Linked DNA regions of Cricetulus griseus. The protein of the gene in region 1 purifies or fractionates together with the protein of each later gene. This does not show direct contact. Links are inferred from orthologs where the notes say so. Each region holds a gene or a part of one and is shown on either strand. Other genes may lie near its edges.

Region 1 (3,644 bases):
GCAATGGTCTTGATCTGACTAGCAACTGTAAATTTGTTGCTTGCTGTGCTCCCCCCTCCCTTCACTCATTGTGCTATACTCTAGGTAGGATTTAATGACTGAGCTTGCAAACATCATTGCCTGCCCTTGTAAGAATCTTATAAGAAAAGAAAGAATCTAGAGGCCAGCCTGCACTACAGGGTGAGTTCCAGGACAGCCAAGGCTGTTACACAGAAAAAAGAAAGAAAAGGATTGAATGGCATTCTCTAGGGAAAGGTCATTGTAATCTTACTTTCATGAGGTCTGTTCTGATAATAGAGCTGTGAAATAGAGCACAAAACCTATGCAATTATGCATTTACGTATCTGTTATTTATGGAAACCCTTGACATAAAATACCTGTTTTATTTGGTGGTGGCACACACCTTCAATCCCAGCAGTTGGAGGCAGAGACAGGGTGATCTCTGAGTTGTAGGCTAGTCTGGTTTACAGAGGGAGATCCAGGACAGACAGAATTACACAGAGAAGCCCTGTCTCAAACAAACAAATGGTTTGAAAATGTCTGTTAGTGTAGAAACAGTTCTATCATTTTGGAAGTTAGGAAGTGGTCACAATTGTTGATGGATGGAAGTGATGAACTTGGAAGCTGAGGGAGGAGATGCCCTTGATCCTGGCAGTTGGAGACAGTCTGAGCAAGGTACTGGTTTCTAAAGCATACAAACCAGACTGTTTCTAAAGCATACAAACCGTGTTTACGCCTGCTTAGATTCTCATACTGCTCTAACACAGTGCTTCACTTGTCAGACTAACTACTTTTCTAGCGAGTGTTCCATCTTGAGTGATGTTCACAATTTTACATGGTCATCCTTCTTTTATGTACAAAATTACACTGTGAGCCAGAAAGAAAGCTCAGGTGCTTGACATCCAGGCCGGGGCACCCAAGTTTGATCTCTGAAGAGAACCAGCTCCACAAAGTTGTCTTGTGGACTTCATATTTACACCGTGGCACAAGTGCCACACACATGCATCAAGGAATAATAAAAAATTTAAAAATTGTGTTGGTGTTGATGCAGTAAATTAAGTTCCTTTGTTCAACAGCTCAGTTTCAGAGGTGAGATGATCTAAGCACACTTAGACCAGTTGTGGGAAGTTTTATTTTCTGCTGTGCTGCTGATTTAACAGTTATCTTCAGAATCTTGGTCCTTGCTCTAGGCTTGCTGTACTGACACTAAATTTACTAGTTGTGTCAAACTTCTGTTGGAATTAGGGTCTCATTAGATAAATGGAGTCATAGGAGAAAGAAGCTGTATTTCTACTAGCTAATTATTTAATGTAAAAACCATCTAAATGTACAGGAAGTATTTATTAAACAATTTTAGCATGTTAATATCAAAGGGAAGACATGAACTTTTCTGAAGATAAATGAACAAATGTCTACTCACCCCAAATAGCATCAACAATAGAAACATCCAGTTAAGCTGTGGCTTGGTTGAACCAATGTTTAACTGGGGTTTCTTAGGGGAGCTGTTGCAGTGACTACACTGCAATAGCAATCTGTCTTCCTGCACCAGCTTTCCTGTCAGTTCTTGGGGAAAGATGTGGCCTTATAAGCCCCCTCCTCTTAGCAACTGCTAATAGCTCGCAGATCACTGGTGGGGTGACTCACAACCTCTGCTTTAACAGTGGTTATCTGAAAACTCTTGGGAAGAGGTGGGCCTCATGAACCCTTTCCTTTGAGGGAAAGTTCATGGCCCAATCTTGTACAGTCTGCTGGCACTCAGATCTGCTGACAGTTGAAGAGGGCAATGACCATGTTATGCCCTGAAGGCAGTATTCAACAACACATGTCTTTGGAATTCTTTTTTTTAGTCGGGGGAGGGGTGCAGGGCTGGAGGAATCTCTTGAGATAGAGTCTTGTTGTGACTGGCTTTGCATTCGTCATTGTAGTACTCCCCGCTTCAGCCTCCAAAGTGTTGTGGTTTGATGACTTTATTGTGTTTTTTCTTATAATTTAAATTACATTAAAATTTTAGGTTTTTACTAGCCTTATGGGTACATTTTTATTCATGTACATGTATTGATTGTATTCACCTCTAATTCCCCTCTCATGTCTTTCTTATTCCACACCACTCCCATTGACCTCTTTCCTCTTTGCAAGTCATCTCTCTTCTGTTTTTACATCTTTGTTGGTGGTGATGGTGAACTTCCAATAGTGTTTCTAATAGGAATATGAGTAAGGGATTATAAATGCCTCCACCTCCCCCAGCATCCATTGGCTGCCTATAAATCCTGAGGACTGTAGCCTTCCTAAAGTTTGTTTTAAATGATACACAAGAGCTTAAACATTGTACATATTTTTCAGTACTTTGTGTTTTGATAAGTTTGTACATAGTGTAATGTTGCAGTCAGGTTAATAAATGTGCATTCACAGACATCTTTCTCTAGGTTATAGCTTTCAAAATCTTCTCCAGGTGTTTGAAATGTGCAATATAGTATCACCTGGAATTACATTATTACACACTGTTACCAAAACTTGTTCTTTGTATATAACTAACTAGTACTTGTTGACCAGCCATCCCTTATCTCACCTCTCCACTCCATTCTCCAGCCTCTGGTAACCTTCATTCTGCTCTCAGCTTTTGTGAATTAGTTTTGTCAATCCCACATGTGAGTAAGGTCTTGTGGAACTTGCTTTTCAGCCTGCCTTATTTCACTCAGGGTAATGGTTTATAATTCTGTCCAGGTTATTACAGATGAAAGGATTTCATTTTTTTTTTTAATGGGTGAATGGCATTCTATCATGTATCTACTACATTTTTTTCATCCATCCTTTGGCTGTTGTGGTTAATACTGCAGTGCACATGGGGTGCTGTATGATTTCAGCAGACTGGTTTCCTTTGACTGCAGAAGGCAGTCTTTTGAATTCTAATTCTCTTCTTTAGTTTAATGAAGTAAACTTAAAGGAAGTGTTTGGCTTTGACCAAATACGCTATATTGTGGAAGCTAGCAGGAATATTGCCAGGTCCTTTTGGTTACTGTAAGTTCCAGTACTATGTGCTAGTTGACTGTGTTTCTGAAAGTAGGGTAGAAGCAGAGGTACTAGAGTGTTCGATGAGAAAGTCAAGAGGCTGGCTTAGCTTAGTCATGTTACGGCTGCTGCAGGCTTTAGTCACTTGTGTAGCACAGATGTACTGAGTCTTTTCAATGTCTGCCTTGTGTCTCCTAGGCCTTCCTTAAAGTTTCCCATGTCTCAATGGACTCCTGAATATAACGAGCTCTACACCCTAAAAGTGGCTATGAAGAGTGGGACTCCTCCTGATGCGCCCACAACACAGGAGAGTCTGAAGGGGGTCCTTCTGCACCCACAGCCCCTCGGGGCCACCAAGAGCTTCCCTGCAGAAGTGGAGATGATTAACAGCAAAGTGGGGAATGAATTCTCTCACCTGTGTGATGATTCAAAACAAGAGAAGGACATGAATGGCAACCAGCAAGAACAAGAAAAAAGTGGGGTTGTGAGGAAAAAGCGCAAAAGCCAACAGGCTGGCCCCTCATATGTACAGAATTGTGTCAAAGAAAATCAGGGAATCCTAGGGCTGAGGCAACATCTAGAGACACCAAGTGATGAAGAGAATGACTCTTCCTTCAGTGAGTGTCTGTCTTCTCCCT
Region 2 (3,744 bases), on another chromosome or scaffold:
CCAGACCAGCACCCAGGACCTTTGCTTGACAAGTATCTTTCCTACTTCCAAGCAGTCACCTGCATCTGGGAATGGCTTTTTAAAACACCCTGACCCTAAGCACCTTGAAAGCCACGAGGCCAAGCAGGGCCCAGGAACAGGCCCCCGCGTGCGAATGAAAGCTCTAAGCTGGTCTGCTCTCTGGGTAACCTTCCCGCGCCGGGAGGCCCAGTAGCGGGTGCCGGAGGTCTAAACGGCCGGGAGGAAACCTGCCGGCGGCGCACAGGCGAGCAGCACCCCTCCTCCCTCCAGGATGCTGCCCCTCGCTGCTCGTCAGCCTGCCAAATGCATTCCAGAGCTGTGCACAAGACACACTTCTCCAGGCAGTCCTAGAAACCCGAGCCCGGAGCGGGAGAGGGCGGGAGGGAGCACGGCGGCCGCTGAGGTCACATTCGCGCCGCCTCTCCGCCCTCGGCCGCCCGGCTGTTCCCTCTAGCGCACACTTCCTAGGGCCTCTGTCCTGGCCGGTGTAAATGTCTTTGAAACAGACAGCGTTCTCCTCCCCTTTCCAAGGGATCCGCCGCCAGGGCCTTAAAACAAATCGAATGAATGAATCGCCGGGGCGAGCTCCGCTGGTCTAAATCGGGCCACCGACCGACTCGCTCCTTTCCAAACTCGCCCGCTCCATGCCCCCAGCTCTTCCGATTTCTCCCCTGCTCCCGCTGGGTCTCCGTCGACCCCCGGGCTGTCTCGGCCTCCCACCTCCCTCCACCCATGCGTACCCCTCTGCAGACCTAAGAGAGGGTGGCGGTAACGGGGGGGGGGGGTTGAAATAGCTTTTAGAAACCCGATCTGTTGTTTGCGAAACACAATCGCTTTTTTTTTTTTTAAAGCGACAGGGTGTCTAGACGGCGTGAGGCCCCGGGCGACACTCGCTAGCAGATCGGCGCACAGAGGATCTTGTCCCCGAGCTGCGCCAGCAGAGCCAGCCGGGCGCCTCGCTCGGTCCGCTCGCCGCGCCGGAGAGAGCTGCCCGAGACGCAGCCAGCCAGCCGGCCGGCGCCACGCCGCCGAGCGCTCGGCCCCGGAGTCCCTGAGTGCGGCGCGGCGAGCCCCCAGCGGCGGCAGAAGGACTCGAGCGCCAGGAGAGGGCGGACGGGGGACGAGGAGGCTCCCGGGCGAGACGAGGAGAGTCTCGGAGGAAGAGGCAGCGAGAGGACACCCGGGCCTCCTGCCGCCACAGTCGGTTCGGGGCCAGTAGCTCCTTCGGGCAGCCTCTGCAGCCACCGGCGACCAGGGGAAGGGGCATCGGCGGCCCCCACACTAGTCTGCTGCTTGTGCCCTCGGGGGCGAGAGCTTGCGACCCGCCGGAGCCCGCCGCCGCGCCGCCCTCCCTTGCGCTGACAGCCCCCCGGGGCGCAGCCGCCGCCGCAGCATCTTCTGTCCCTGCTTCCCCAGAGCCGAGGAAGTCCCCGCCGAGGACCTGGGCCCCCGGGAGCGCAGGAGGAAAGACCAGAGACTCTGAAACACCCAGACACGCAAGATTGAAGCAGCCTAGCCAGACCCTTCTGTGGATTAAAAGAAATACGATTTTTTTTTTTGGCAGAAGAAAAGGAAAGGAAGACCCGCAGGGTTCTGCAAGGAAAAAAAAGGGGGGGATGTAACTCGTGGATACGTTTTTTCCCCACCCCTCCAACATCTTGTTCTACTTTGTAAACATTTTCTCTTCTAAACCCGGGCTCCATCCGGTGGCCCCCAGACCTCCGAGGTGCCAGGAGGTGTTGTGTGTGTTTTTTTTTTTTTTTCATTGGGGGCTTTGCATATTTGGTTTTGGGTTTTTTTTTTTTTTTTGAGAGACCCTACAGACGTCTCACGCGGGGTGAAGTCTACTCGGCCCCCTCCCTCTAGTCTTCGCGAGCACAGAATTCGAGGAGATCCGGTTACTAAGGATATAGAAGAAAAAAATAAATCGTGTGCCTGCTTTTTTTTTTTTAATTGCCTGCTTCTCCCCACCCCCAAATTAAGTTGCTTAGCAAGGGGGAAAGAGGCTTTTTCCTCCCTTCAGTAGCACAGCCTAACGCCTTTCGTTTTTTTGCCCCCGAGGATCTTCCATGTAGGAAGCCGAGGCTGGCGAGCCCGACACTCGGGAGCTACTGTAGGGGGGCCTCTTTTGGGGGAGGCGTCCACCGGGGCAGTCTCGGCCGCCCCCAGGGAAGCGGCGGCCGCGTTTCTCCGGGGCGCGCCGGGGCCCGAGAGCCGCGCAGGGCGCGGGCCGCGCCGGGTGGGGCAGCCGAAGCGCAGGCCCCGATCCCCGGCGGGCGCCCCCGGGCCCCGCGCGCGCCCCGGCCTCCGGGAGACTGGCGCATGCCACGGAGCGCCCATCGGGCCGCCGCCGCTCTTGCCCGGGCCCCTGCTGTTGCTGCTGTCGCCTGCGCCTGCTGCCACAACTCGGCGCCCGACTTCTTCATGGTGTGCGGAGGTCATGTTCGCTCCTTAGCCGGCAAACGACTTTTCTCCTCGCCTCCTCGCCCCGCATGTTCAGGACCAAACGATCTGCGCTCGTCCGGCGTCTCTGGAGGAGCCGTGCGCCAGGCGGCGAGGACGAGGAGGAGGGCGTGGGGGGTGGCGGCGGCGGCGGAGGCGAGCTGCGGGGAGAAGGGGCGACGGACGGCCGGGCTTATGGGGCTGGTGGCGGCGGCGCGGGCAGGGCTGGCTGCTGCCTGGGCAAGGCGGTCCGAGGTGCCAAAGGTCACCACCATCCCCATCCCCCAACCTCGGGTGCAGGGGCGGCCGGGGGCGCCGAGGCGGATCTGAAGGCGCTCACGCACTCGGTGCTCAAGAAACTCAAGGAGCGGCAGTTGGAGCTGCTGCTCCAGGCCGTGGAGTCCCGCGGCGGTACGCGCACCGCGTGCCTACTGCTGCCCGGCCGCCTGGACTGCAGGCTGGGCCCGGGGGCGCCCGCCAGCGCGCAGCCCGCGCAGCCGCCCTCGTCCTACTCGCTCCCCCTCCTGCTGTGCAAAGTGTTCAGGTGGCCGGATCTCAGGCATTCCTCGGAAGTCAAGAGGCTGTGTTGCTGTGAATCTTACGGGAAGATCAACCCCGAGCTGGTGTGCTGCAACCCCCATCACCTTAGTCGACTCTGCGAACTAGGTAAGAAGTTGTTCTGTGTCCACCTTTCGTTCCCTCCTGCGCGGAAGTGTTGGTAGAATTCCCAGGGTGTGTGTGCATCCCCCTTCTGGAGGAGAGGAGGGAAATAAAATCAGGGAAGGGACAAGGGGAAACTCGGACATTCTTTGGGGTTCCCTTTCATATTCTATCTCCCGCCTCCACCCTCTGGTGGAGGACCCATGGAGACTGTTTATGCTTATAGTGAACAGACATGCTGCAGAAAATGAGACACACTTATTTCCGGGTCAGCAAGGGAATTCAGAGCGAAGTGGGGATCACGCTTCCCCCGCACCCGGATAGGCGTTGAGGTGTGTGGCCGAGTTGGATTCTGTCCAAGCCCGCCAAGGAAGGTTGGGAGAAACTAGCTATAAAAGTTGGAAAGTCTCCTCTCCTTTAGTAAATAAGGACAGTCACGTGGGGCTCAAGTGGCCCAGATACTGCCCTGGCCTCTCAGCTTTGGAGTTTGGGGGCTGTGGTAGGATGGAGACCGAACTAGGTATCCACTGTTAGCTATGCCAGCCACAGGGTGAGAAGGAGCAAACAGCCTGGAGAAGTTGGGTCCCCTACTTTTACCTTTATTTCGCACCGAAAAGCATA

Evidence for each region.
Region 2: the proteins of Rnf111 (region 1) and Smad7 purify together in Homo sapiens (affinity purification with western blotting; 3 studies listed by BioGRID). This does not show direct contact. The link is inferred for Cricetulus griseus from reciprocal best matches to the Homo sapiens genes RNF111 and SMAD7.

Annotation. Positions count from the first base shown.
Region 1 is NC_048597.1:182,022,822-182,026,465, reverse strand, and holds part of Rnf111 (E3 ubiquitin-protein ligase Arkadia), read left to right. Parts: intron 1-3,204; 5' UTR 3,205-3,223; coding exon 3,224-3,644. UniProt on the Homo sapiens protein: E3 ubiquitin-protein ligase. Required for mesoderm patterning during embryonic development. Acts as an enhancer of the transcriptional responses of the SMAD2/SMAD3 effectors, which are activated downstream of BMP.
Region 2 is NC_048595.1:164,565,593-164,569,336, reverse strand, and holds the start of Smad7 (mothers against decapentaplegic homolog 7), read left to right. Parts: upstream 1-1,181; 5' UTR 1,182-2,513; coding exon 2,514-3,129; intron 3,130-3,744. UniProt on the Homo sapiens protein: Antagonist of signaling by TGF-beta (transforming growth factor) type 1 receptor superfamily members; has been shown to inhibit TGF-beta (Transforming growth factor) and activin signaling by associating with their receptors thus preventing SMAD2 access.